2 linked regions of the Macaca fascicularis genome follow. The main gene of each other region encodes a partner of the protein of the gene in region 2 in a complex. Links are inferred from orthologs where the notes say so. Each region holds a gene or a part of one and is shown on either strand. Other genes may lie near its edges.

Region 1 (10,789 bases), on a different chromosome or scaffold from region 2:
CTGATTTAACCTTAAAAATCTCATTTCATTTTAGCTGGCTATTCCTTCCTAAAAGGTTTGAATAGCTAACATTCAAGTTTTTCAGTCTAACAGTTAACATTCCATGTAAAAGTTTACCGTGAGTCTTGGCCTCATTGCATATAAAGTATAAAGTACAACTTCTTGAGACTCAATTTTTATTTTCTTTTTTTAGACTCAATTTTTAAAGGTAACTTTCCAGCATCTGTATGTCACATATAAAAAGAAATCGTGTTTTTCCAGTAAGACTCCAGACACTAAACTGTGGTGTCAAAAAAATTTTTTATTTAGCTGGTTCAAAAAATTTTTTAGAATGAATGCATTTAGATGACCAAATAGATTTTTAAAAACAAATCTTTGCCAAATAGTTTAAGTACTTCTAAACTTCAAAATCTTTTTAGGGTAAAATAAATACCCGTATCTATGCAGTACCATAAACATGTTAATAAAAGGCTACTCAACATTGAAAGCCTTCTAAGACCAGTAACTGAAATTTACACAAGTGTAAAGAAGGGATTAAACCATGCCGTCGACAAGTTAACTTACCCCTGGGCTTCTTGAAGGCTTGTCAGTTTAGTCTTTGGAGGTCCCCGAGTACCATTTTAAGTGTTACCATGTTACTGCTGCTGAGTAATAGTGCAAGTGCTAAAATGCAAAATTCAGATGGTACAGGGTTTGGAAATCATGCAGATTTAGATGCAGATTAAAAAAAAAATTAAAACAACTCAAGATCCCTTTACAGAGGAAACCAAATAACGAAACAATGTGGCGATTACAAGTCTACAGGATGACTTCATTTATAAATGTTTAAAACACGTAACTTGCAAAATGACAAACCTATTTATCATAATCTAATTAGGTAAGGGCATTAACTACTAACACAACAAATGTCGCATTCTTCCAACTATAGAAAATGAGCTCAACTCTCACAGAATTAGTTACAAAAAAGTACAACAGAGAATCAATGTTATTGCTTTTACATACTTAACAATGCATTGTGAGAGTCTGAGTTTTGTAAGTGATTTTATTCAACTTTATTCAATGTTACCACATTCCCCCACCTCCTGGAGGACGAAGCCCATTCCACTTAACACTTCCAGACAGACAACCCACCCTAATTCTTAAAGCTATCAGGCCTCTTAATGGATTTCAGGCACAAGATAATTTGTGGTTTCTTCTACTTTATCCCTATTGCAATTAATTCCACTTTTCAAATCTCAAACTAGGAAGGTACTGATACTCCCTTTTCAATTGATATGCTTTGCTACAAAGCATTAGAAAATAATCAACATTTTGCCCACTCTCCCAAATAATCTTTTTAGAAGGAATGATTTCCCAATGGAGATTTATACAGGCCATGTAAATAGAACATCACCCAAATGCACAGAGGCACTAAGAAAAAGCCGGAGGGTACTGCTTACCATTTTAGGTGCGGTCACCCAGACTTATTCAAAACTAGATTTCAAAAGAAAAAAAAACAAAAACAAAAAACAAAAACAAAACAAAAAAAAAACTTTTCACTTTGGCCAATGCAAGAACAAATACCAATTAAGTCTGGGTATCAGGTGTCAATGCATGACAGGTGATGAATCCATTTGACTTGAGACAACTTTTCAAATAAGTTTATTTGAAGCAAAATAAACTACTGCCAAGAAACTTTATGAAAGTTCCATCTCAAAAGGGTCAAAAAAGGGGAATTAACTGCTATGAATTCTTTGCATTCAGGGCTGCAAAACAAAGACACATATTATTTAAATCAGTTTTATTTAAGAATTTCCAACAATGACAACTCTTATAAAAAGCATCCAAGCACAGGACACAGAACTGCAGCAAACAGCATTCTTATGGGTAGCTAACAGACATTAGAACTTCCACCCTTCTTTGAGACACCTGAGCTCACTGGTGAACTCTGCTTCAAGTCCTCCTGCAAAGCACACCACAAGCTCAGTCCATGTTCTCAGCCCATCAGCTTCAGTTCACATTGCCACACTTACATATCAGTAACAGAAGAGAACACACACCATACAGCATTCACAGCAGTTGACAAAGGGGTAGGGGGAGTACAAGTATCATTTCACTTAACACATTCAACTAATGTGGGTTATCTAAGAACAAAAACTCACTTAAAGTCTTCCAACAGATGTGGATGTCCTTTGAATGCAAAAAACATTCGTACATTATTTGCTATCATTGCTCTCTGCACACTCTCTCACCAAAGCCACAGGATTGAGAGACACATCTCGCCAAGTTAAAAAATATCCATTATGCACCACCAAGTCTCTGCACGCGCTCTCTCCTTTTCTCGCTCATACTAGCCTTTCATGCCTCGGCACCACCATCAATCCCACACAAGGTTTCAAAAGTTCAAACAGCCTTCTGGTTCCATATCACAGCCTTGCGTTCATAGCGTTGATACGACTCCATGAAATAAAGAGTAGCGGATAAAAATGGGACACCCACCGTCAAAGACGCGGCCTGTGATGCGTGATGACGAATTCTTGAATGAGAAAGCATGTAGACAGAAGTATTCCTATGGCAGAATATTTACAGCACTACTTTCAATGAAGTGCTTCTTCCATAAACATTTGAAATGAGATGAACTGCAGAGATTAAATGAAGGCTTCATATTGTACTTTTGTATATGAGGGGAGACAAGTGTTAAAAAACAAAACAAAAGAACCAAACACTGTGACACCATGATCTCCTAAAAGGAGATTTTCTTAAGGAAAAAAATCCATATGGTGGGGTTCAAATTAAAACAAGGGGTAAAGAATGTAGTTCTAATCAATGGTTTCCATTTTGAACATGCAAAGAATTCACTTGACAAGTCCAGGGATAAAATATTACAGGAGAAACCTTTTGATATCAATTGTAGTGTGTTGGTTTACCAATCAGGCAAACAGCAGTTCACTTTCAACCACTCAATATTTCAACCTTTCATGTAACAAAACTTATAAAATTCCTTTAGCTCTTCCTTTTTCTAAAGAAAAATGTCAAAAATACTGCTGAATATACTCCACACTGAACAAACCAATTTTGAAAATTCTTAGTACATACGTATTTTACAATATACTTACCATGAGTTTAGAAAAATTTGAATTCCCACCATTCTATACCACCAACCACAACCCCACTGCCTACATTCCCCAGCCAGAAGACTTAGAATCCATGCTTGAGCCAAAGCCTCCATTAAAACCACTGCCCGACCCTGCATTTGATGCTGATCCCCAACCAATTGCTGCACCAGAATTAGAACCACTATAAGAGTTATTTCCAGAACCGAAGGCCTGGTTTGGCTCCCTCTGCATGTTGCCTTGGCTTTGGTTATTACCCGATGGGCCTGACTGGTTCTGCTGGCTGGCTAACATGCCCATCATACCCCAACTGCTCTGTAGTGCTGCCTGGGCAGCAGCCATCATGGCTGGATTAATGCTGAATGCACCAAAGTTCATCCCACCACCCATATTACTACCTTGATTGTTTCCCAAACCAGCTCCACCCCCTCTGCTATTACCAAATCCACCCTGATTCCCAAAGCCACCTGGATTACCACCAAATCTTCCACTTCTTTCTAACTGTCTATTGCTATTGTGCTTAGGTTCGGCATTGGATATATGAACGCTGATTCCTTTAATGATCAAGTCCTCTCCACAAAGAGACTGCGCAATCTATAAGAAATAAGGGATGTAAACAAAGAAGATTAAACCATTGATTCATACATTTAAAGTAGCAACAAAACTTAGATTACAAGCATTAATTTATCTAAAGCCAGAGGAAAAATAAGCAATGACTGCTCATTTCATTTAAACCCCCAATACAGCTTTTAGTTTTATTAATAGCAGCAGTGATATTTCCGTCGATTTTCAAAAGACATAGGCTGGACATGGTGGCTCATGCCTGTAATCCTAGCGCTTTGGGAGGCCAAGGTGGGAGGACTGGGTAAGGCTAAGAGTTGAAGACTAGCCTGGCAGCCTGGACGACACAGGGAGACCCCACCTCTATTTAAAAAACCCCACAAAATGCCACATTAGCTGGGCATAGTGGCATGTACCTGTCCTAGCTACTTAGGAGGCTGCAGCTGAAGGATCCTCCCCTGGAGGCTGAGCCCAGGAGTTCTAGGATGTAGTGAGCTTTGATTACACCACTGTGTTCCACCAGCCTGGGCAACGGAGTGAGACCTTGTCTCAAAAAAAAAAGGGGGGGGGGACCAGGAGCGGGAGCAGTGGCTTGCGCCTGTAGTCCCAGCACTTTGGGAGGCTGAGGCAGGTGGATCACCTGAGGTCAGGAGTGCAGGACCAGCCAGACCAAAACAGTGAAACCCCGTCTCTACTAAAGATACAAAAAAATGGCCAGGTGTGGTGGCTCACACCTGTAATCTCAGCACTTTGGGAGGGAGGCTGAGGTGGGCGGATCATCTGAGGTCAGGAGTTTGAGACCAGCCTGGCCAACATGGTGAAACCGTGTCTCTACTAAAAATACAAATAAATTAGCTAGGCGTGGTAGCAGGCGCCTATAATCCCAGCTACTTGGGAGGCTGAGGCAGGAGAACTGCTTGAACCCATTAGGTGGAAGTTGCAGTGAACCGAGATTGTGCCACTGCACTCCAGTCTGCGCAACAAGAGCAAAACTCTATCTCAAACAAAAAACAAAACAAAAAATGGTATATAACATTCCCAAATGCCACATACTGAAAACTATCTAAAGGTATACTTACTTTTAGATTTTTTAAAAATATTACATTTGGGATATCAGATACAGGTATCACAAACGTCTAGGCCCATACACCCTACATCTTACAAGGTCAGAAAACTCAGCTAAGACTAGCAATTAGCTGGATGGGAAATGTTCAAGAGAAATTACCTAATTACCTGGGACATATTTTTTTTTGAGACAGTCTTGCTCTGTCACCAGGCTGGAGTGCAGTGGCGTGATCTCAGCTCACTGCCACCTCCGCCTCCTGGGTTCAAGTGATTCCCCTACCTCAGGCTCCAGAGTAGCTGGGACGACAGGCGTGCACCACCATACCCAGCTAATTTTTTTTTTTTTGTATTTTAATAGAGACAGGGTTTCGCCATGTTGGCCAGGATGGTCTTGATCTCCTGACCTCGTGATCCGCCCACCTCAGCCTCCCAAAGTGCTGGGATTACAAGCATGAGCCACCACGCCTGGTCGGGACATATTGTTAAGGAGAAAAATACCTGATCATCTGCAAATGTAACAAAGGCAAAGGCCCTGAACGGCTTGGGGATGAAGACATCCATCACATCCCCGTACTGAGAGAAGAACTCCCGCAGCTCATCCTCAGTCATGTCCTCTGTACAGCGCCCCACAAACACTTTTCTGCTTCTCAAAGGCTCATCTTGGCTTTGCTGATCAAATCAAAAGGAAGAAAAAAAAACTCAGAAATATGTTATGAACAATGAAAAAAGCATTAAGGTAAGGGATATAACAAAATCATTCTGCCTTGGATAGCAGTGAATCATTAAAAAGTAGACATACCCTTCATTTTTTGCATCAGCATTTTTTTTCTTAAAAGGCTTCAGTGAAGAGTAACGTTTTAAGTTACAAAAGTACAGTCATGCATCACATCACGATGGACATATGTTCTGAGAAATACATCATGAGCCATTACACAATTTCATCATTGTGGCCAGGTGTGGTGGTGAACGCCTGTAATCCCAGCACTTTGAGAGGCCGAGGCGGGTGGATCACCTGAGGTCTGGAGTTCAAGACCAGCCTGGTCAACATGGTGAACCCCCAGCTCTACTAATACAAAAATTAGCTGGGTGTGGTGGCAGGTGCCTGCAATCCCAGCATCTTGGGAGGCTGAGGCAGGAGAATCACTTGAATCCAGGAGGTGGAGGTTGCAGTGAGCCAAGATTGCACCTTTACACTCTAGACTGAGCAACAAGAGTAAAACTCCGTCTCAAAAAAAAAAAAAAAAAAAAAAAAAAAAAAAAAAAAAAAAAAGGCCGGGCACAGTGGCTCACGCCTGTAATCCCCACACTTTGGGAGGCCAAGGCAGGTGGATCACCTGAGGTCAGGAGTTCAAAATAAGCCTGACCAACACGGAGAAACCCCATCTCTACTAAAAATACAAAGTTAGCCAGGCATAGTGGTGCATGACTGTAATCCCAGAAGCTCGGGAAGCTGAGGCAGGAGAATTGCTGGAACCTGGAAGGCGGAGATTGCAGTGACCCAAGAGCACGCCATTGCACTCCAGCTTGGGCAACAAGAGCAAAACTCCGTCTCAAAAAAAAAAAAAAAAAAAAAAAAAAGCCAGGCGCAGTGGCTGGGCAGATCATGAGGCCAGAAGATTAAGACCATCCTGGCGGCCGGGAGCGGTGGCTCAAGCCTGTAATCCCAGCACTTTGGGAGGCCGAGACGGGCGGATCACAACGTCCGGAGATTGAGACCATCCTGCCTAACCCGGTGAAACCCCGTCTCTACTAAAAAATACAAAAAACTAGCCAGGCGAGGTGGCAGGCGCCTGTAGTCCCAGCTACTTGGGAGGCTGAGGCAGGAGAATGGCATAAACCCGGGAGGCGGAGCTTGCAGTGTGAGCTGAGATCCGGTCACTGTACTCCAGCCTGGGTGACAGAGCGAGACTCCATCTCAAAAAAAAAAATAAATAAATAAAAAATAAAAGACTATCCTGGCTAACATGGCGAAACCCCATCTCTACTAAAAATACAAAAAATCAGCCAAGCGTGTTGGCAGGCGCCTGTAGTCCCAGCTACTCAGTAGGCTGAGGCAGGAGAATGGCGTGAACCCAGAAGGTGGAGCTTGCAGTGAGCTGAGATCGCACCACTGTACTCCAGCCTGGACGACAAAGTGAGACACTGTCTCAAACAAACAAACAAACAAACAAAAGATCGTCATTGTGCAAACATCATATAAACCCAGATAGCACAGCCTACCCCACACTTAGGCTAGATGGTATAGCCTATTGCTCCCAGGCCACAAACTTCCAAGTTACTGTACTCAACACTGTAGGTGACTGACTGTAACATGATTGTAAGTATCTGTGTATCTAAACATAGAAAGGGTACCATAAGGCCGGGCGCGGTGGCTCAAGCCTGTAATCCCAGCACTTTGGGAGGCCGAGACGGGCGGATCACGAGGTCAGGAGATCGAGACCATCCTGGCTAACACAGTGAAACCCCGTCTCTACTAAAAATACAAAAACTTAGCCGGGCGGGGTGGCGGGCGCCTGTAGTCCCAGCTACTCGGGAGGCTGAGGCAGGAGAATGGCGTGAACCCGGGAGGCGGAGCTTGCAGTGAGCTGAGATCCGGCCACTGCACTCCAGCCTGGGTGACAGAGCGAGACTCCGTCTCAAAAAAAAAAAAAAAAGAAAGGGTACCATAAAAACAGTGTTATAATCTTATGGGACCACTGCTGTACACGTGGTCTGCTGCTGACTGATGAACTTTGCCATGTGACGCATGACTGTATTTGGATTTGAGAAAATCAATAAATACGCAATCTCCTGGCAAAGATGATGATGTTCCAAATAAGCAAATGTTATTTGTTTGCTTGGAAAAAGGTCTTTATAACAAGATTAATGTACGTATTCTGATTGTCTTTATGTTTTAACATATAACTATGTAAGAAACTGTTAACTTGACAAATAATCTTTCCTCTTTTCCATGCATAACAAAAAGGAAGAACAAAATGAACAAAGGTTTCATTTGGAGAAGTAATAAACTAAATATTTCAAACAAGCATAAAATATTCAGCATGCATTAAGGGCCAAAGACTTCAACAAGACAAAAGGATTTCATGAACACACCCTACCACTATCTTTTCTAAGTGTGTTTACATTTTATCTTACAATCTTCTAAGGAAGTTTGTCAGCAAAAAATCCCAAAGCACAGACCCAAGTACCTTAGAATTAGGAAGTTTACAGTCACACCATCGTCCATCTATCATATGTCGCTGTGACATTACTTTCACCTGTGTTTCATATTCCGTAAAACGAACAAAGCCAAACCCCTTTGAATGACCAGTCTTAAGATCTTTCTTGACCTAGAAAGGATGATTTAAGTTTACTCTAACAGTACACATACACATTCCACGCCCAAATCATAGTTCCTTAAAAAACAATTTGAATGGTTTTAACTGGATGCAGTTGTTTAAAACTTAAACCAAGTTAGTCTTCAGAGTAAAAACAAGGAGGTTAATATTGAATCCATACCGTGTTAACAATAGAGCAAAACTCACTTATACAACAGAAATGTTTTTGAGTTCTTAAAAAAAAGAGAGATGGGGCCAGGCGTGGTGGCTCACACCTGTATTCCCAGCGCTTTGGGAGGCTGAGGAGGGTGGATAACTTGAGCACAGGAGTTAAAGTCCAGCCTGGGCAACACAATGAAACCCTATCTCTACAAAAAATACAAAAATTAGCCAGGTATAGTGGCATGCGTCTGTAGTCCCAGCTACTTGGCAGGCTGAAGCACAAGAATAGCTTGAATCCAGGAGGCAGAGGTTGCAGCAAGCCTAAATTGCACCACTGCACTCTAGAGCCTGGCTGACAGAGCCAGACCCTGTCTCCAAAAAGAAAAAAAGAGAAACTGAGTCTGGATTATGTTGGCTAAGGTGGTCTTGAACTCCTGGCCTCAAGCAATCCTGAGTCTGGATTATGTTGGCTAAGGTGGTCTTGAACTCCTGGCCTCAAGCAATCCTCCTACCTCAGCCTACCAAAATGCTGGGATTACAGGCATGAGCCACCACAACAGGATTTTAACAGAATGTCTTAGAATGAATTCAAAGATAAAAAGCTATTATCACCTAATTCCCTTAAGCCTTCATGCAACAGCAGGATTTTACAATATTGAAGGTAATAATATAGAGTACAAGATATGTGTGTAAATATAACAAATATTGGAAGTATCATTTGTGTAACAGGAAGTACAGTGCCATTAAAATAACAAGAATATGGCCGGGCACGGTGGCTCACACCTGTAATCCCAGCACTGGGAGGCCAAGGCAGGTGGATCACCTGAGGTCAGGAGTTCAAGAACAGCCTGGCCAACTGGTGAAACCCTGTCTCTACTAAAAAATACAAAATTAGCCAGGCGTGATAATGTGCGCCTGTAATCCCAGATACAGGAGGCTAAGACAGGAGAAATCGCTTAAACCCAGGAGGTGGAGGTTTGCAGTGAGCCAAGATAGTGCCACTGCACTCCAGCCTGGACAGCAAAGTGAGACTTGGTCTCCAAAAAAAAAAAAAGTAACAAGAATGTGGCTAAGGCATCATGGCTCAGCACACTGGGGTTGAAGTGGGAGGACAGTTTGAGCCCAGGAGTTCAACACCAGAGCATAGGCAACATAGTGAGACCCCATCTCTATGTATACCAATAAATAAATGCTAGATGCTCATTCACTGTAAAGAAAAACTGTTTGATGCAATCGAAGTTTACCTGCACCATAAGAACTTCTCCAAAGGTACTAAAATACTCTTTCAGGTCCTGTTCAGTTGTTTTCCATGGGAGACCCAACACTATTAAATCGGATGTTTTCTGGACTGCTCTTTTCACTTTCACTGCTGATGAAGCATCTGTCTCATCCATTTTTCTTTTGTTATCTAAATAAAATGAGCAGAAACCTTTTAGACTTAGCACTTCTTTAAAAACACTACCTCCTACATCCAGAAATGAGAAGCAAAAAGGAGACTCTAAGAAGAGTAAGACACTGAAAACTTGCAAGAAGTGATTTTTGCTCTAGAGGACAGAATAAAGGCTTAAGTTTAGTGTCTGAGGTGCTTTTCTGGTGCAAATTCAGTGATTTCCAATTTTGTTTTTTGTAGTACTTCCAGATTACAATCTCTCTCAAAAGGTTTATCAAAACAAAAATAATTCTACTTCACTTTGACTTTAAGTATCAGCAACTTGTATCTCCCGATGTAGATTTCACTTTTATCTTTCCTAAACATTCGACAATACACAGCTTTTGCAATAAAATGGAAAACCAGGCACAGTGGTGTATATGCCTGTAAGTTCCAACAACTCAGGAGGCTGAGGAAGGAAGTTCCAACAAACTCCTGCCTTAGAGTCCAGGAGTTTGAGGCTGCAGGGTGTCTATGAACAGCCACTACAATATGCCTAGGCAACAGAGCAAGAGCCCCCATCTCTAATTTCAAAAAAGAAAAAGAAACCAAAAGTTTGGCTTACTTAAAAAAACATAACCAGCTGGGCATGGTGGCTCACACCTGTAATCCCAGCACTTTGGGAGGCTGAGGCAGGTGGATCACAAGGTCAAGAGTTCAAGACCAGCCTGGCTAAGATGGTGAAACTCCATCTATGCTAAAAACACACAAAAAAATTAGCCGGGCTCGGTGGCAGGCGCCTGTAATCCCAGTTACTTGGGAGGCTGAGGCAGGAGAATTGCCTGAACCCAAGAGGCAGAGGTTGCAGTGAGCCAAGATTGTGCCACTGCACTCCAGCCTGGGCGAGACTTTGTCTCAAAATAAAATAAAATAAATAAATAGATAAAAATACAAAAATTAGCCGGTCGTGGTGGCAGGCGCCTGTAATCCCAGCTACTCAGGAGGCTGAGGCAGAGAACTACTTGAACCCCAGAGGTGGAGGTTGCAGTGAGCCAAGATCGCGCCACTGCACTCCAGCCTGGGTGACAGAGCAAGACTCCATCTCAAAAAACAAACAACAACAACAAAAAACTCCTACACAACCTTAACCTTAGGTTATTTAGAAGAGAAAGGGAGATAATTTTTTTTTTTTTGAGACGGATTCTCATTCTGTCACCCAGGCT
Region 2 (11,497 bases):
ATCCCAGCACTTTGGGAAGCTGAGGTGGGCAGATTACTTGAGCCCAGGAGTTTGAGACCAGCCTGGGCAAAACCCCATCTCTACCAAAAATACAAAACTTAGTCTGGTCTCAAAATAAATAAAAATGAAAAAATATGTAAAATTCAAAAGTACATACGTGGAAGACTTTTCAATAATCCTGCCTTAGCAGGCCAAGGGGTTTTCCAGCCATTTCTCTCTGGCATTTGCCTCTATCTGTAAACACAGGACTTGGAGAACTACTCACTAGGATCTCAGGGTACAACAAGGCGTAGGCTAGTCCAGCCCGCTGAGAAAGTTTATGTGGCTTAAAACACAAGCACAGAGACGAGCTTACAACTTGGGGCCCACATCTTTCTGACCTCTGGCCCTGGGAAGTGTTTGTACTGGCTACTCTGTCAAAAGCTCATTTTGCTGCCTCGAATGAGGAAGGAAATGCGTAAATGAGAGGCACAGCAGTCCGCTCCTTGGACCTACAGGAAGCGGGCAAGAATTGCAAAGTAAGAGAAGAGGCTCCCAGGCAACGTCCCAGGAGTTTGCAAGCAAATCTCACTTTATCCACCCCTCCTAAAAATCTGGCTATCATGGGGACCATCAGGACAGCCAAGGACAGGGAGCTCATGATCATCAGTGAGACCTGATTACTAACTGCTCCGTATGAGGCTGAACAGAAACTAAAGGGGCATGGCTTGAATGTCCTCTGATGCCTGCGTTAAAATTTCTGAGCCTTTCACTTATTATCTTATAAAATGCACTTATTTATTAATTTTAAGACTATAAAGAAAAGAGATTCTTCCAGATCCTTGGCCACGTATTCTCCTAAAACACAGACAATATGGAATTTAAGGCCAAAGACCAAAGGCATTAAATAACCAGCAAATGACACAAGGTAGGAAGATCAGCTTGATAAGCCTGTATACACGAAACATGAAAGCCAAATTCAAAGGCTAGAACTCCCACAAATATAAATAGAGCTGGACTTTAAAAAACTACAGTGAGAGTTTTTGTTATACCTCTCAGAATCTGACAGCCAGGCAAGCAGGGATATAAGGGCAACTGAAGTTAAGAGATCTATCTAAAGTCAGTGTCCCGCAGAGTACCTATTTTCTCTTTTCACGCCCATGAAACATGTTAATATTTATCATGCAGTTGGCCACAAAGAAAATTTAATACCAGCCAGGTGCAGTGGCTCCTGTAATCCCAGCACTTTGGGAGGCTGAGGCGGGGTGGGGGGACTGCTTGAGGCCAGGGCTTTGAGACCCGCCTGGGCAACATGCTTCATTCACTCATTCACTCATTCATGAAAATGAATCCATTTTGTGAAAGGAGCAAACCCTTGCAGGCACCTAGGTCTGCCTGAGCATGGAGCGCCATGGGGAGGGATGTCGGTGGCAGGCCATCCACATGTTCCCTTCTGGGATTGGAAAGGGAGCAGGAGGGTAAATCGAGGCAACAGGGTCAAACACGTCCTCCTCGCCTTCAAAGCCACCATTTCAGAGCCTGTCTAAACTTACTATCATCAGATCCTCATGTCCTGCTACTCCTCACCCATTCATTCCAACCTCGCTTCTGCTCCCATCATCCCACCAAAGCAGTGAAGGCAGCTGCATCTTCTCCATGTCACTCACCACAGCCGCGATGCCAAGCTGACTACTCCATCCCACGAAGCAGACTCACCCTGGCTCCTGGGATACAACTCTGTGCTGGCTTTCTGGGCCCCTCTCAGGCAGCTCTTTTTCTGGGTCCTTTATAGGCTCATCTTCCTTTACTCAGCTGTTCAAGGTGAGTTCTTCCATCTCGCTGTGCCCATGACTTCAAACACAAACACAACCTAGACAAATGTCTGTCTAGCCAAGACTCCTCCTGAGCCCCAGACCCACCAGCTTATTTGGTATCTCAAAGATACCTCAAACATAGTATGTCCAAAACCAAATACATGATCTTCTTCATCCTCCAAACCTGGTCCTCATCCAGTGTCCCATGTCTCAGGGACACCAGGGGGATGACTCTAGGGTGAGTGGGGGCGGTCTCTTCTTTTAAGCACAGCACGCAGGGTGAGGCCAACAGTGGGTTCTCAGTAATGAGCCGTTCTACCGGAACATGCCTTGTCACCTACTTCCTAAAAATAGCCGTGACCTTTTTAGTGGACACAGCAAGCTCACATCTGCTATCACCACTCCTTCCCCACTGACACATGCACCCTTTCCCCCAGCGGTGCCACTCCCCAGGCTGGATGTGCCATATGCTCTCCAGCCTCCCCGTGGGTAGCCTCCACATTTCTCCTCTCTGCCCTCACTCAGATTTCCCCCCATCTCAAGTCCTCCAAGTCAGCCACCCCCAGGTGTGAGGGGCAGGGGACATCTGACTTCCCTCTCAATTTCCTTTCCTTCTTTTCTGCTAAGGCGGAGCCTAAGCCCCTGGAAAACTAGAGATCTCAGAACCAGGCTTTGACCACGGCATGCTCCACCCGCTGCTTCACAACTCCTGGCAGTCACACACCCACCATATCAACATTGTCATCACTACCCCCAACTGATCTCAAACCCCTTTGCAAACATCTTCTCATCTGATTCTCCATTCCAGGCAGGCATTTTATTATCCAGAACTGTTCTGTGTGTGGGGGGCTCAGTGTAGCTGGGTGGCTTGTCCCAGGATACCCAGCACAGAGAACTCTGTCCCCCAATTTCTTGGTTGCCCCCACCCATTCCTTCCTCACTTCAGCATGGGCAAGGCCAACTGTGGTCTGGGTCACTGTTCAGGCTGTACTTTTAGGATCCTCCCAAATAACAAACAACTATGTGACTATCAGGTCTTTATTTCATGGGTTATAGGAGACAGGATCAGTAGGCCTAATGTGTAACAGTTTCAGCGGTTATCAGAGAGTTCCACTGAACTGCAACAATTCCCTTTAAAAGCACAAATGCCCACCAAGAAAACCTCAGTTTCTTCATTCATCCTAACAGCTTTCCTATCTAGGTATCACTCAGAATTCCCACTATTCTGGGGGTCATGGGATCAGAGAGTGCTGCAGAGAAAAATCCACAGAAAGTGAAAAGTCTGTTTCCTTGGCAGTGCTGGTGAAGCACACCCTTGCACACACGCTTCCCCACGGGACCAAGTGCCAGGAACTGCTTCAGGCTTATGGGGGAAGACGGTGGCGAAGAAGAGAGAGGAGGCCGGGCACGGTGACTCACTCCTGTAATCCCAGCACTTTGGAAGGCTAAGGCGGGCAGATCATCTGAGGTCAGGAGTTCAAGACCAGCCTGGCCAACATGGTGAAGCCCCGTCTCTACTAAAAATACAAAAATTAGCCGGGCATGGTGGCGCATGCCTGTAATCCCAGCTACTCAGGAGGCCAAGGGAGGAGAATCATTTAAACCCAGGGAGCAGAGGTTGCAGTGAGCCAAGACTGTACCACTGCACTCCAGCCTGGGCGACAGAATGAGATCTGTCTCAACAAAAAATAAAAATTAAAAAAAGAGGGAGAAGAGGAGTGAATCCAGGAGGAAGGAGGGGGTGCACCAGAAAGGTCCTGGAACCTCTGATGTTCCAGCATTCAGCATGCATTTTGGTTCCACATTCACCTCCTGCCCACACCAGTTTCTTTTCTCTATTCTACAGTTCCCAAGAAGAACCCACACTAACCTATTCTGTCTCAACTCCCACTCCTGTCATCCCAAGTCACACATCACCTCCCCAATCATGTGAACTAGGCATCACTAATCGATCCTGGCCTTCTAGATACGTCCACCCAGGGTGAGCCCTTTCTATAATATCATGCATAAAGGCATCAGATGGGGCTTCCACTCCCACCTCTTAGTCCCAATTCATCTCCATCTCACCCTCCCCACATTTCTCTGCCTATCCAAATCCAGCCTTCAAGGTCCTATACTTTAACCACAGGGAAACTACTTCCCTGTGCTGCCTCTGTTGTTCAACTAACGACAACTAATTTTCTGAGCACCTACATTAGGCAAGGCCCATCCTGAGTGCTACCACCAAGAGGTAAGTCAGAAACAGCCTCCACCCTCCAGAGTCAGAAGACAGGGCAGAGATAAGCCACATGGCCACACAAACACTACGCACAAGGTGAGAGATGAGAACTGAGTCAGTGCTGGAGGGGCTGAGTGAGCTCAGAGCATATCCCATCCCTCCTGCTGGGCAGCAGGCACCAGGATGGCTCCCAGGAGGGTGGAGAATCCTGGGCCAGACGGGGAGGGAGGGCATTCCAGGAAGACAGACAGCATGAGCTTAGCATGAGCTAAGCCAGAAAGACGGTTCAGGAGAAGCGCATTTCAACTTTAGCTGAACCTTCCACTGCTACTATTTACTGACCCTTATACCTGATTATTTATGACCCAGGCCTGCCTCACACACTTTATGGCTAATCTGGGTGACACCCATCTGGGACACACAAGTGTGGTACAGCAGTCACCACCTGTTCTGACTGGTCCGTACCTGAGCGCTGTATGGTTATTAAATGAATGAATGCACTGAATCTCACAACAAACCTGTGAGGCAGGGATTAGTATTATCCCCATTTTACAGATGAGGAAACCAAAGCACAGACAATAGTCAGAGACAAGATAGCAAGGTATGCAGGAGCCTGAAGTAGTGGGCACCCAATGCCAGGGCAACAAACTGCCCTGGCACCTCACCTGGCCTCCCTTGTCAGGGAACACCTTGCAGCACAAAGAATGCGTTTAGGAAAGGGGGCCTGTTAATCCTCCTGGAATCCCCAACAGTTGACTGCCGCATAAAAGGAATGAGGAAAGCAATGAGAGAGCCAGTGAAGGGTGAGCATGCCCTGCAAACCTTTAGTCCCTGTTGCGTGGGCAGGGCAGGGGCTCGGCCTCACAGCTCCACTCCATGCCTAAGGCAGAGAACAGATGGGAGAACCACCACAAACGCCCAATCTCTACAGAGAGGTCACTGATTGGAGGGCAGAGACAGAAATGCCCCGGGCCGACTGTTTCCAGCTTGGGCTAGCACTGGCTGGCTTAACTTTTCCCCTCCAAAGTCTCTAGGTGACAAATTTCGCGTGTCTCCTTTAAACCAACAGACCGTTTTACCTTTCTAAGTCTTAAGGGCCTGGCCTGCACCCATGGGGAGATACAAGTCCAGGAATCCCTTCCTGAAACTGGGGATCAAAGTTGGGGAAGGGGCGAAGGGAGGCACAACATCGGGGATGGCTCCCGCATTCTCTCAAACATTGGGGAGAGTTCCTTACAAATAAACTGCAATGGTAGCAGCTCCCATGAATGTGCGTGCTCCCAGTTACGGAGGAAAGTTCCTGAAGATAGCCTTTTCTGCTTGCTCTCCCCCAGCCTTGCCTGAAAGAGCGCGCGCACCCCGGAGGGCCCCGCGGGGCTGCGGGGCTCGGCCTCCGGCATCCCTCCAGCCACCCGTTGCCTCCTCCGCCCAGGGTCACGGCCCCCGGCCTTACCCAAGCCCAGACTGAGACGCTGACCCCTGAGCCCGGGGGGGCCGGCGAGTGCACCCCGACCGCACAGGAGGGGGCAGCCCCCGACGCCGAAGCTTATTGAGGGGGCTGCCAAGCCGACACGGCCAGCCCGGGACCCGCCGACGCCTCCTCTGTCCCCCACCCCCACGCCTGTAATGCAACCAGGAAGCAGCAGGGCCGCGCTGGGCTGGGCGCGGGGCAGCCCCGGGCCTCACCTGCGGTGCCGCGGTGCACTGCCGCCGCCTGGTCCCAGGCCCCCGGCCGGCCCGGGACCCTCACTCACCTGGCCACGGGGACTCGGGACGCGAGGGGCGAAATGGGACTTGGGCGGGAGTGGCTCTCTCCGCGGGCGTCCCGGACGCGGTGCCTGGGTTCTGCCTGGCGCTGTGTCCCACTCCCGCTCGCGGGGCACTCGGGGCACTGGGGAGTCGCGGGCGCCGCAGCCTTCAGGGCGGGGCGGGAGGAGGAGCCTGCCGGGCGGAAAACTCCGCGGGCGCGGTTGCCCCAGGCGCCGGGGGAAGGGCAGGGAAGGGGCGAGGCCTGAGCGCGGCCCCGCCCCGAGATGAGGCTTGGGCAGGGCGGGCCCGCGAGCAGCAGCGCCCTTCCGGCTGCGCAGCTGCTCCAGGACGTCTCCGGCTCTGGAGGTCCCTCTGTCGCCCCTAACCCCCTGCAGCGCCCGGTGCAGCGCAGAGCCGCATTCGCCCTCCTGCAGGGGTGGGCATTTCCTAAATCCTCTCCAGCCCCGTGTGCGTCGTTAGTGACTCTCTTTAAGGTAAAGAAAACTTTTTACACTGAAAAGGTCAAACACATTTCTTTCATATCAACACTCAGTGGTGGTGGAGGGGGGAAGGTCACGCACAGTATGTGAGGAAGGGAGCGGTCAGTAACTATCATGGAGAAACCTGACCAACCACCCAGCCGTCAAGGTGACCTCGACAGCGGTAAATCATACTGATTGCATGCACCGCTTGTGGTCTTCCTCCCAAGAACACCTAATCCCACTGTAATCATGAGAAAAACATCACAAATCAATTGAGGCCCTTGCCATATACATGACCAGTACTCCTGAAAACTAGCAAGGTCATCAAAAACAAGGAAAGTGTAAGACACTGTCACAGCCAAGAGGAACCCACGGAGATATAAAAATGACATGTAAAGTGGTATCCTGAACGGGATCCTGGACAGATAGTAGGTAGAAACTAAGGACAACTGAATAAAATATGGACTTTAGTGCGTCAGTTTTGGTTTATTCATTGTGGCAAAAGCGCCACACCAATATAAGATGTTAGTAATAGGAAAAACTCGGGTTTATGAGAACTCCCTGTATTCACACTTTTTCTGTAAATCTAAAGACGTTCTAAAAAAAAAAAAAAAGCTTATTTTTAAAAGGTCACACAGGTAATATATGCATATATGGTAGGTATGCAATTTTTTTTTTTTTAATGTGTGGTGGCTGACACCTGTAATCTCACAGCACTTTGGAAGGCCAAGACAGCAGGATGGCTTGAAGACAGGGCTTCCAGACTAGCCTGGGCAACATAGTGAGACCCGGTCTCTAAAAAACTGAAAATAAAAAATTCAAAAAATGAATAAAAATTGAGATTCACTCTTCTCTCCACTCCCCCAGCCCACTCTTAGGCGTGTCCTTCCAAAATATCTCTCTTCAATACTGTGTGTGTGTGTGTGTGTGTGTTTACATAAACGTATTGTTTACAAAACAATATTGCAGTACTTTTCTGCAACATGTTTTTTTACTCACTATATCTTGGAGGGTCTTTCCATAGAAGCGCTCCCGAACAGACCTAGTTCTTCCCATCCGCTGCACACTGCGCGCCATCGTGCACTTCACCATTCTTCACTACCTAGCTCCTTACTGAAGGACATTTAGGTTGTTGCCTATGTTTGACTGTTACAAACAAGCTGCTGGTGCGATTTTCCTTTTTTTTTTTTTTTTTGAGATGGAGCCTCCCTCTGTCGCCCAGGTTGGAGTGCAGTGGTACGATCTCGGCTCACTGCAACTTCCGCCTCCCTGATTCAAGCAATTCTCCTTCCTCGGCCTCCCGAGTTGCTGGGTCTACAGATGCTCACCACCACGCCCGGCTAATTTTCATATTTTTAGTAGAGACGGGGTTTCACTATGTTGGCCACACGGATCTCGAACTCCTGGGCTCAAATGATCCGCCCGCCTCGGCCTCCCAAAGTGCTGGGATTACAGGCGTGAGCCACTGCGTCCGGCCCGATTTGCGTTTTAAAGTCGCTCCGAACAATAAAAGCGGGAAGGGCTGGAGGGGAGGCTCTGACCTTCTCCCTGTCTGGGCAGCTGTGCTGGTGCCGGGCAGGAACAGCGCCTTGCCTTGGGGCATCCTGGCCCCGGCCTCACAACCGGCCCTGAGCGCTCAGTCATATTCCGTGGCCGCTCCAACACCCCCGACCCCCACCAACAGGCGCGGCTCTCTTTCCGGGCTGGACCACATTTTTTGGACATGAGTCCGCGAGTGAGGGTGAAATTCAGGCCAAAGTCTCCAGAGCGGCTCGGAGAAAACGTCGCCTGGAACTGAAGAGCAGAGGGTCAGAGGCACCACCAGAAAGACTCTCAGAGTGGGTTACTACCCCGGTGGCGGCGCCCGCTGCGGCGTAGGAGATGGCAGGACTGAGGGCGCGGGTGTGAAGCCTCCAAGAAACTGGGTGAAGTTCCTGGAGTGGTAATGTCTCCAGGCGCTCTCTCTGGGCCCGGGGATTGGTCCGGGAAGGACTCCTGGCGCCGACCCAGCCCCCCTGCATGGACGCCTGCGCCAGCTCTGCAGCCCCACAGCGACCGCGAAGGCCAGCGTCTTTGAATGGCCCATTTTTCTCCGTGGCTGAGCGAATACCTAGAATACCAAGTTGATAATAAATCACGTAGGGTGGAATTCCTGCTGGATGTATACACCTTTCTGCGTCAGAGCTCTTCGAACCTAGAATGGTGAATTAGCTACCCCTGGGCTTACCCTTTTATAATTTTCAACAAACCTGCGTTTAGCCCCAGCTAGGTGCCAGCAAGCTACTAGGGACTGAGGAGCCTCTGCAGAGGACCCGAGCTGAGGTCCTAATCCTCAAGGCCAATGTCAGGGGTCACTGCCCAGGCACCCCCAGAGAACGCGGTGTGAAGGAAAAGACACCAAACTCGGTGTTCAAATGTGTGGGATCTATTCTAGTTCTGATTCTGACACTTGCAAGTCGTGCATCCTCCGAGCCTCGGCTTTCTCACCTATAAAATCTTCAACGTGACCTATAAAAATCCATAAAATCACCGCTGCTTCATTGTTTCCCAGGGCTCATAGAAACATCACACGAGGTAAGGGAAGGTGAGTGCCTGGTAAAAAATGGTGACTTGCTATATAGCTCTGAGTAGTATGGTGTATAAAGCTTCGTTTTTAAAAAAAATTTTATTTTATGTGAGTCAGGGCGCCCGGCCTCTTTTGTTGTTTTCTAATGAGTATATATGACTATCATTTCCCTCAAAAGTCTGCTTTAGCTGAATATCACAAGTTTTAATATGCTATGCTTTTGTTATCTCTTAGTTATAAATATTTGGATTTTGTTGTTGTTGTTGAGACAGAGTCTCGCGCTGTCGTCCAGGCTGGACTGCAGTGACACGATCTCGGCTCACTGCAACCTCCACCTCCGGGGTTCAAGAGATTTTCCTGCCTCAGCCTGCTGAGTAGCTGTGGTTACAGGTGCGCACCACCACACCCAGCTAATTTTCATATTTTTAGTAGAGATGGGGTTTTACCATTTTGGCCAGCCTGGTCTCCAACTCCTGACCTCAGGTGATCCACCCGCCTCAGCCTTCCAAAGTGTTGGGATTACAGGTGTCAGCCACTGTGCCTGGCCAATATTTTGTTTTTTATGTTAGTATTGTACGCTTAATTCGTGGACTATTTAGAAGTATATTTTCCATTCTTTTTTTGTTTTCAAACTTCAGTTTTTTAAAAAATAATAATAATCATTTGGGGAGGGGCCCAGTGGCTCAGGCATGTAATCCCAGCACTTTGGGAGGCCAAGGTGGGAAGATCACTTGAGACCAGGAGTTTAAGACCAGCCTGGGCAACACAGTGAGAGACGTCTCTACAAAAAATAAATAAATAAATAAAATTTAAATAAAAGTAAACCAATCATTTCATTGTTGATCTCTAACTTTACTGCTTGGACATGAGGAAATGTGTTCTTTTAGAATTTGTTAATGCTTTATTTGTGGCCTCATATACAGGTTTTTTTGGCTGTCCCAATTTTTGTGAATGTGTCTTCACTTTTTAATGTGTTTTTTTTCTCTCTCTCTCTCTCTATAGCTCTCCGTCTAGCTTGCTAATCAGGTTATTTACATCTTTTATCTCCTGGGGTTTTTTTGTGTTTTTTTTTTTTCTCTCCTGTTCAATCCATTGATTTCTGAAAGAGTGGATTTAACATTTCCCACTTTTATTGTAGTTTGTCAATTTCTCCCTCTAATTTAGTCTGATTTTGCTTTATACTTTTTTTGTGTGTGGTTTTTTGATTTTTGTTTAAGAGGCAGTGTCTCACCATGTTTCTCAGGCTGGAGTGCAGTGGCTATTCACAGGTGTGATTATAACTGCAGCCTCAAACTCCTGACCTCAAGCCATCCTCCTGCCTCAGCCTCCTAGATGACTGGGATTACAGGCATGTACCACCTCACCCGGCCCGCCATACAATTTTGAGAGCAAATTATTAGGCTCATGCAAATTAACATTATTTTATCCTTTTATGACTTATTCAGTTTTATTACTTTTTGTATTAATATTGTTATCCTGAGATTGCATTTTTCTAGTATATATTTTATTTCTCCTTTTTTACTCTTTCTGTATTGTTACTTAGGTTTATCTCTTGGAAATGACATTTTTTTTAACAAGATTTAAAAAGTTCATCTGAGTTTCTGTTTCTAATTTGTGAGTTTAACCAGTTCACATTGATAAGAATAGCAGAAATATTTGGGCTTATTTCTGCCATCGTTTGTGTTATACATATGCCCTTGAAATGGATATTCATCTAGAACACGTCAGTAAAATGCTATAAATTATTACAAACTGGAATTCTTCCATGCTGCTTGGTAAATAGCTGCTCACCCGAGACCCCACAGTGCCCCTACCCCTGACTTTCTTCTGATCTGGCAAAAAAGGGTCAATGCTTGTCACAGGGAGACCCTCTAGGACCTTTTCTGAGATTAAATTTTATAACTTGGTATGAAATACTAACATCTAAAAGACAACATAAAACTCAATCCACTATTACAACAAGACTGTCCATGATAAACTGGATAATGCTTCTATCAATTTGAGAAGTATTAAGATTAGACACTGCACAGAAAACTCAAAATGCCTGGTAATCTTATAGCTCATATGTGAAACCTGATAGAAGTATTTTCAACTTTAACTATAGTCATAAAAATGTACATGCTAGTACCAATGGGATTCACTATCTGCAGTTATAATAACTGACTTCTGCAAATTTTTTTTTTCTTTTTCTTTTTTGAGACGGAGTCTTGCCCTGTTGCCCAGACTGGAATGCAGTGGTGCAATCTCGGCTCACTGCAACCTCCGCCTCCCGGGTTCAAGCGATTCTCCTGCCCCAGCCTCCCAAGTGGCTGGGATTACAGGCACGTGCCACTACGCCCAGCTAATATTTGTATTTTTAGTAGAGATGGGGTTTCACTGTGTTGGTCAGGCTGGTCTCGAACTCTTGACCTTGTGATCCACCCGCCTCGGCCTCCCAAACTACTGGGATTACAGGCATAAGCCACCAAGCCCAGCCACTTCTGCAAATTTTTAAAAAGCATATGGCCGACTTAAGCAGAAAATGCAATTAAAAAGAAAAGAAAAAAAGCCTCTGGTCACAGTGTAAGAAGGTTGAAGTGTCTTTCTATGATATCTAAAGAAAACAGTATTAGAAAATCCTCGTTATCTATAGATTTTGCTTCCTGAATATTTGTTGAATCTGACTCCTTGTCTCCATCCCTTACATACT

Evidence for each region.
Region 1: the proteins of ANXA11 (region 2) and TARDBP are in contact, whole or in part, in a cryo-EM structure (PDB 9FOR), measured with the Homo sapiens proteins. The link is inferred for Macaca fascicularis from reciprocal best matches to the Homo sapiens genes ANXA11 and TARDBP. Residues at the interface, in NP_001148.1 of Homo sapiens: Gly56, Met57, Ala59, Met61, Ser62, Gly63, Phe65, Asn69, Pro71, Asn72, Leu73; in NP_031401.1 of Homo sapiens: Ala328, Leu330, Ser332, Trp334, Gly335, Met337, Gly338, Met339, Ala341, Ser342, Gln343.

The regions. Positions count from the first base shown.
Region 1 is NC_088375.1:223,780,066-223,790,854, forward strand, and holds the end of TARDBP (TAR DNA-binding protein 43), read right to left. Parts: intron 9,606-10,789; coding exon 9,442-9,605; intron 8,048-9,441; coding exon 7,907-8,047; intron 5,388-7,906; coding exon 5,217-5,387; intron 3,687-5,216; coding exon 3,156-3,686; 3' UTR 1,766-3,155; downstream 1-1,765. UniProt on the Homo sapiens protein: RNA-binding protein that is involved in various steps of RNA biogenesis and processing.
Region 2 is NC_088383.1:66,601,592-66,613,088, reverse strand, and holds the start of ANXA11 (annexin A11), read right to left. Parts: upstream 5,905-11,497; 5' UTR 5,766-5,904; exon of another isoform or gene 5,698-5,765; intron 5,642-5,697; exon of another isoform or gene 5,465-5,641; intron 1,831-5,464; 5' UTR 1,647-1,830; intron 1-1,646. UniProt on the Homo sapiens protein: Binds specifically to calcyclin in a calcium-dependent manner. Required for midbody formation and completion of the terminal phase of cytokinesis.